Linked DNA regions of Bombyx mori. The protein of the gene in region 2 interacts with the protein of the main gene of each other region in a pairwise test. Links are inferred from orthologs where the notes say so. Each region holds a gene or a part of one and is shown on either strand. Other genes may lie near its edges.

Region 1 (4,632 bases), on a different chromosome or scaffold from region 2:
TTTTTATTTTGTAAGTTTAGGTACCCATATTTTGAAAATATATACCTACAAATTACCGAAGACTCTCTTCAAAAGAATCGATGTTATAAATAAATTCCGTGAATTTTACTGCGAAACCCACACATGCACTGCACTTAAACAATATTACGTCGTTGCAAATTTGAAATCTCCTATGTGACATTTTGGGTCAAAATGATGTTTTCATATATTATTAATGTTATTTTGAATACCTATACTCAGCAAAAGCAATCTGCATATCTCAATATTTAACTTTATTACGCGTCAATCTTAAAAAAAATTCTAAGTGTCGGTTTGCATTTAGAAGATTGCACAAAGTGGGAATGAGTTGCTCGCTCCGGGCATTTCAATATTGTAATAATTGTTATGTTATAGTTACTTATTGTAAAAATGAATATTTAAAAAAATCTTATATTTAAAAAAAAAATAATCTAATATTTAAAAAAAAAAAGACATGCCTGCTGAGTTTCTTGCCAATTCTTCTCAGGACGGAGGCTAATTCTTGTGAATTGGCGGTAGTTCTTTTGACGTTCAACAAGTATGTACTTTCATTTATGTTGAATAAAACTTTTTTGATTTGATTGATTTGATTGATTGATTGATTGATTGATTTTATTGTAGATCAAAGTATCCTATGTGCTAAAAAAATATTCGGATAATATATTTTTCATGAGGTAGTTTTATTAGATTTTCTCGAAAACTACGTTTATACACATAAGAGATTTCAAATCTCGTGGTCATATTAACAAAACGCCTTATCTTGAACCAATAACTCTCTGAAGACGACTTTTGTTGACATCGGTTTCATTCCTTTTTTTTTATAATATAACTATTTGTAGTTATGAAAATAAGAAACAAACAAGGAATTAAAATATAACTAGCAATGCCATAATGCTCTTAAGACGGACATGAAGGAATACGGAGTTCGCGAGTGATCATTCTTTCGAAATTGGGTCGTGCCTACCGTTACACGTGTTTTTGAAACTTTAAATTTTGAAACTCACAAGAACTCACTGTCGGTAATCATTTTAAATTTAAAGTGTCGTTGCAAATTTCATCGAATTAAAACGAAAATTGCATATCTTGTATAAGACTTAATAAAATGTTATAAGTTTTAGGTATTTTAATAGGTAGTAAGGAAGAACCTGTTCTGGACTAATTGTTAAAGCTAGTTTATTAAGAACATTTTTTTTACAACCACGATGTAATTCTAGTTAACGATGAATTTCAAAAACTAATATCTTAATTAAGCTTCTGTGTGGGGCAGCCGTTGTAACTATACAGAGACCTTAGAACTTATATTTCAATGTGAGTGGCGCATTTACATTATAGATGTCTATGAGATCCACTGAACACCAGTTGGGCTGAGAGCACGTCCACCCATCTAAGCAATAAATAAATAAAAAGCTTCTGATTCAATCTAGAAAATTTAGGTCAAGTCTTCATTGTTAGTTAATAATCGCATATTTAATTAGCAAAATGTCAGTTTTTTTAATAGGTTTTTAATTATTTTTTTCCAACAATAAAGTAATTTACTAAAACCAATTGAGCTAAATAGTTCAACATTTTAAATAAAACTATTTTAGAAATCAGTAGGTGACTAGCTCGGTGGTGCTGTAGCTAGCGCCCTTGTCGGCTGGGTCAAGGATCTTGGCTTCAATTCCCACATCGGGTAAGCATTTGTGTGATCAACATGTTTGTATGCTCTGTCTATGTATTCAATATCTAAATGTATATACGTATATAATAAGGAAGTATATCAGTCTATTGTTATCATAGTATAGGGAATGCTAGGTCTGATTAAAATTAAGGACTAACTAATTAAAAATTAAGGACCTAAACCATCCAGCCTAAAACCAACCAACCTAACCGACTAACCTAAAATTCCAGGAGCAGACTAAGGCGTAAGGCAAGAACAAGTGCACCTAGATACCAAATTCGGTCATTGAATCCGGATATGAGTTACAACGAGACAATCAGATTTGGAATTTGCGTTCATAGACGATTGTTATGTTGACCTTTCCTATAAAAATAAACTATTCTTATTTGACTTTCAATGTTTAACGTAGTGATTATATTCTCTTTAGTCGCTTGAAAATAAATTTATTGACTCGAAATAAGTGTTTTTACTGATAATAACGATCGCTAGGCCTGAAAGAATAAAGTGATCACAATCGCTACGCGCAGTTGCATTGAACACGAAAATGTATTAAATATCATCAATAATGGATCTTACATTTTTTATGTTTCGGGATCTCAGGGAGTTTTCTCCTTCGCCTTTCGCCATTTGTAAACGTCTGGTGACGAGGACTGCGTTGTGTGTCTGCTGCGTCTGCCGGTGGCGGTGGAGACTCCGGATTTTCCGGAATAGATGACCGACCATCGGTTTCGCCTACACATCCTCTGTCTTCTTCGGGGCTACCTTCACTTTTCGAGGAAGGTGACTCATCTTCGAATCCAACATTTGGCACTAATCTATACAACGATAGCATGTGTATCACTAATGTATCTAAAACAATCCGTTGCGCGACAAATTATAGAGGGAATCCAAAGAACATAGCAGCTCACGTGACGCGAATTAGTGTATCACTTGCGATACGCGTAAAAATGAAAGGCGGCCCGTGTTGTATGTCAATGATAATAATAAATTTGTACTCACGAGTAAAAAGGCGTTGGGGCCTTAATGTGTTGCGGTAGTCTATCAAAAACTCGTCGAAATTCTTCAAACTCGCTATCGGCCATGTCGCTACACCTGATTGTTGAGCAGAGAGAATGTCGCATGCGCGACTGCTCCCTGCAACTCTATCGACCCAGACATGTCTCTTGGACAGTAATAGCACACAGTTTTCAAACAGTAGAAATGCGCGCGCATCGATGGGGACCAGAGCGCAAGCGTGCTTTTGTCACCCTAATACAAAACAGGATTTGGGAGTTTGAATTTTATGCTTATGCGTGTGAGTAAATATTAGCGGAACTCACATGCAAGTCAGTCATGACAGTTTTTTTTAGTATTGTTTCACTAAAAATACACATTCGTAGCTGCAATGAACTTCACGGTGGTTAATCAAATATTATTTACTTACTGAAGCATGCTTGCAGATTAGGTACTATAATAGAAAAAAAAAACTAAAATCAATGAGTGAATTATGCGCGTGTGCGAATAAGAGATGTTACATTAGTAAATATATAATTGTAAAGACGAGAAGGAATAGCAAATACTAGTCATAACGCTATTTTTTATTTCGATCACAGAACACAATCAATGTAGGATTTGTGACGAAAATGGGTATTTGTTAGAAAAAAAAGTATAATAACGTACTAAAAATAAATTTGGTATCCTTTAGGTGCATAGAATAGAATAAGTTATTTCAAGCTGCTGAAACCACAGCACTGTGCACTTGGAAATAAATTAAATTAGGAGCACATCATTTGGAGTTTCTCTTTTCTCTTTTGAAGTGGAGTTTCACGGCGTTAGTACATCAGGGCGTAATAACATCACACTATTTTGAAACAGTTGGATAGAAAACTGACTATGTACTTGCAATAAATATTAATGTATATATATGTAAAAATGAATTGCTGTTCGTTAGTTTCGCTAAAACTCGAGAGCGGCTGGACCGATTTGGCTAATTTTGGTTTTGAATTATTTGCGGAAGTCCAGAGATGGTTTAAAAGGTAGATAAATATGAAAATGCTCGGAATTAAATAAAAATATCAACTTTGTTTTTCTTTTAATGTCCCCCCCAAAAGTTTATGTATTTTATTTATCGATTGAAGCACTACGAAGTCTGCCGGGTTAGCTGGTCTATACTAATATTATAAAGAGGAAAGATTTGTTTGTTTGTTTGTTTCGAATAGGCTCCGAAACTACTGGACCGATTTGAAAAATTATTTTTCCATTAGAAGCCAACATTGTCCCTGATGAACATAGGTTACTTTTTTTTTTTTGTTTTGTTTCATATTTGTTTTAATGTTTCCGAAGCGAAGCGAGGGCGGGTCGCTAGTAGTAAATAAATTCATTGAAATGATTGAAGATTGTATTACAACGTCATCTATTGCGGTATACTTGTACTTTAAAACAAATCAGCGTAACTTAACAGAATTGAGTTACTTCAATAATAGATGTCGCCGTCAGATCAGTAAATTTATTATTTTCGTACTCTTCTACTTTTAATATTCAATTATGTATTTAATGACATCAAATACTCCAGAAAATAATAGACTGAACTGCGTTTTCTCTAATATCAATACAGAGAGTGTATATTAATAATATAATATTAATATTATAATAATTTTATGTAAAAAAATAATTACTCACCTGCAATATAAATATGAAAACAACATTTAAAGCCCTTAATATCTCTGCGTAAATTAATATTTAACACAATAATATTCAATATTATTATGAAAGATTAAATTATTCTCGACATTGAATGACATGTAAGTGAACTTGTCTAAGAAAAATCTTTTTAAAAGGTTTTTTTCCTTACATATACATATTAAATTATATTTTCAAATTTCTGTTTTTCTATATAGTCTTTCTTCGTTGTAGAATGAATGTACGTTCATATTAAATTATATTACAAGTTAAAATTAGTACGCAGTCCTATAATA
Region 2 (3,834 bases):
AAGTGTACGTGATATTATTTTGGTAATGAATTTCTAACTTGAAATCAAAACACATCAGTGATGCATTATTGATTTATAACTTATATAAAATATCTTCTCCATGCAAGCAGTCTTGTCATTGGGTTAATTCGCCTTTGTCATAAATGTTTTTTTTTATTATGAACCTAATACCAGATTAAACGTTAGACGTGTTTAATTACGTCTACGGCTTTTGGATACGTAAGAAAAGTAACTATTATATGAAGTTTCCTTCGTAATATAGTTCTTATCGATACACGATTATCTATTGCCACAATAAATGACAAGTTATTGTACATCTTCTTCGAATATAAAGTTCAATTTCAAATGGCAAAAATGCGAACGAATTTCCTGTCCAATGCAGTCGAGAATGTTTTGTGTGAAGTAAATGTATAGTACAATTAGAATATAGATGGTATCACGTCTACTATCACAGTATCTTAGTTTCTATTCGAGAATAATTATTATACCTTAAAGGGATTCAATTACTTAATCGATTTTAAGGTATATAAATTTTACTGACAGCATGGAATCGAGATGAAAGTGAAATTATGACGTCATTTTTTTTAAAATTAGCTTTCAAACTTTTCAACACTTCACTTTTGCAAATTTCTATAAATAATAAAATACGTGTTCCTGCTTTCCATACAATATTTTTCATTGACGATCATGACCGCCGAACGTCGATTAAAAGTCAATCGATATTTTTTTAAATCGATTCCGTTTATTTAAAAGGGACGGTTGCACCATAGCATTGTACAAAGATTAGCGTTAACAAAACATTTATCATAAACAACAATAACTAATCGTAATTTTTCCGTGAGATCAGACTTTAGAGGAAGTTCACATTCTTGTTCCGCTGTTTTATAATATTTTCAAGGGCTATTCACACAGCTAGCTAGATTTAAAACGTAAATTAGAAAATTACAACAAGACTACACCGTAAGGAATATGAAGTAACAACTAGACGGTAACATTATAATTTCTTATTCTACGCAAGAAATAACACAAGTCAAACTCTACTATCGCATAAACAATAACAATGATATAATTCATATTTATTTCTAACCTAAGTAGTTAACGAGCAAACTTCGGAGATAGAGAAGCTTTAGATATAGGTACAACTATTCCCAGATGTCTGAGCTCCATCCATGAATCTACCGAGATAGCACTAACGATCAGATATCCACTATACTGTGCGTGTATTGCATATAACTATTTACAACATGCCTAAATTAAATACAAGCTCCACGAAGAGCCGGATAGATAGTTTGGATTAGCCGCAGGAGTACCAGCCAGTACCAGGGCACCGGGGGAGTGGACGAGACAGCGCGGCGGGAGTCGCACGCCGCGACCCCCTGCGACCGACATTATTTACCACCGAGACCGAATTTCATGAAGATCAGTTCTTTGCCTTTACTAAGAATGTCGCCACCGGGTGCCGTCATTTCGGAGAACTTCTGCATCAGGTTGGGCTGGGATGAGGGGGGCTGCGCCGGCGTGAGGGGCTGCGCGGAAGGCACGACCGCTGGACCTCCGCGTCTGGTAGTTGTTTGCGCCGTAGGACCCCCCGTCGTTGTGCTAGTGGGCCCGGTCGCATTAAGCGGAGTGCTCGCGGAGTTGTTGGAGGTGGGGGGTCCGCTGGGGGGTGCGTTGCCGGGCGACTGGACGGTGGGGGTGCCCGCATTACCAGCGCTCGTTCGCGCGATCGTGTTCGGGGGCTGTCCGCTCGACGCGCCTCTCCCCCTCGCCTGTTGCCAATTATTTATTATTTCATCGTACAACCACAACCCTATTTTTGTAACAGGAATGTGAAAAAATTAAATTTTTGCCTGTGAAAAAATTTATTTTGCAATTTATGTGCTTCAGAATAGTTAAATTTGAATAGAGAATGTGACATCTATGATAATTTTACTTTGAAAGAACGATATGTCACGATACTTGCCATATCGATGCGTTAGAATTTACTGAGTAGAATAAGTACGGTTACATCGTTTCCAATCCAACAGGGAAAAGAAGCATAAAATGGAATTTCTGGTAATAAATTAATTCGTACCTGTTTTTTTTTTTGAAATTTTATTTTCAAACTGTTTATTTTGATGTTTTATCTTGAGATTAAATTTATTTATATCACTTGTAGTACAGACAACATTAAGAACGCGTTGGATTTCGTGCTTTTGACTGAACATGCCGTTTCCATGCACCAAGCGAGTGAAAGATACTAAATCAAAATTATTCTTACTTTTATAAACGCGTCGCCGCGTCGTGATCTAATTATTGATCGAGATTGAGACATGCATCTCATGCTTTGATAAACTACAACAGAAAGCATTTGTGAGAACGTGTTATAATATACTACCCGATTAATGCAAGTACTTCGGACCGAAGTACACACAAATAGGCATGTCATTGACAAGTTAAAATAAAACGCTGTAATCGTGTAGACCACATTGACAGGCCTCGAATGCTTATGCAGTCACTTAAAAAGATGGTGATTGAGCTATTGTAAATCAATGTGAGTGAAGTATGCGACAGTGTTAATGTTGAGTACTTATAGAAACTGGTCAGCATATGTTATGAGAGCTAATGTGTCTATATTCTGGTTCCGTTCGTTATTAAATATAATAATATGTAAATAGTAAAGGACCAAGTACTAGCGATCAGTTTCATTTAAAAACGCCCTCATCTGTACACTGAGCGCAGCGTGAAACGTAACGATAAAATATTATAGAGAAAAAATTAAAATAAAAATGAAGAAAGGAAACAGTGAGAAAACAATAATTCATCTAAATATATGAAAGTGATAGTTGAACATAATAAGACTAGTATAATTGCTTAGTTTATCTGAAGTAGTAGTTTTTGTGGGTTCGATTTATTAAACGGTAAATTTTTACCTGAGAATTCGCCTGTTCTGGATTACTGGCGCATGTGTTGTGGTCTAATTGAGAAGGGGGAAGAGGGCAGGCATCTAGCAAACAGACAATACACCCAACATATATAGTGACCACAGACAACCACCCGAATCTTGGATCACACTTCACCGACACCGCGGGCTCTGTGCAAGTCTATGTTGCGTGTATTTGTACGTCAGCCTACCCACTCGTGTGTGCTAATTACGTGTGGAGCCTCACTGGATTAGACCTCACGGGTTAGGTTAAACAAAAATAAAGATAGGATAGATAATTGGATAGATTAAACGAAAAACAAAGAAAAAACAAAAAATAATAATACAAAAAACAAAAAAAACTATTTCGCATTTTCCCTATTCGATACATGTGGGGGCGTATCGTGTGACCTCATCTTTTTTATAATTTCTTTAAAAAATTTAACGATTTATGTGACTGTGTAATCCAAGATGGTGTTTTAGCAAAATGTATACACCAAGAGTCTTTGTGCTCCGTAGATTGCAACCGGACTTGCATTTGTTTTAAACATTAAATCTTTGCTGTAAATTTAAATATTATAACTAACAAAATTCGGCAAGTCCCGTCGCAATCGTACAAGAAAGATGATAGAGGTTATCTGAGCGAAATAGCTAGCGTCGTTCGATAGTCACATAGCAAGTCCAAGGTGCAAACATGAAACACTCAAAGCTCTCAATGTTCGGGACGGACACGCTTCGTCAGTCGCCGACACTTACCTAAACAATGGGGACGCCGATCGATTCGTCAACTTTGAGAACCTTTTGCTTTTTTTAAACTTTACAATAATTATTGAAGCTGCTTAAAATACAAAATAAATGTTTCGAAACGTTTTATTCCTTAGGTCGTTGAGCCTGCATCGACGAACCGATCGTCCCATCTCAAGTTCGTATTA

What was found.
Region 1: the proteins of RIMS-binding protein 2 (region 2) and JNK-interacting protein 1 interact in a two-hybrid assay, tested with the Drosophila melanogaster proteins (2 studies listed by BioGRID). The link is inferred for Bombyx mori from reciprocal best matches to the Drosophila melanogaster genes Rbp and Aplip1.

What each region holds. Positions count from the first base shown.
Region 1 is NC_085107.1:7,555,467-7,560,098, forward strand, and holds the start of JNK-interacting protein 1, read right to left. Parts: upstream 2,974-4,632; 5' UTR 2,800-2,973; coding exon 2,678-2,799; intron 2,494-2,677; coding exon 2,255-2,493; intron 1-2,254. UniProt on the Drosophila melanogaster protein: The JNK-interacting protein (JIP) group of scaffold proteins selectively mediates JNK signaling by aggregating specific components of the MAPK cascade to form a functional JNK signaling module.
Region 2 is NC_085122.1:8,934,903-8,938,736, reverse strand, and holds part of RIMS-binding protein 2, read right to left. Parts: intron 2,987-3,834; coding exon 2,913-2,986; intron 1,770-2,912; coding exon 1,389-1,769; 3' UTR 1-1,388.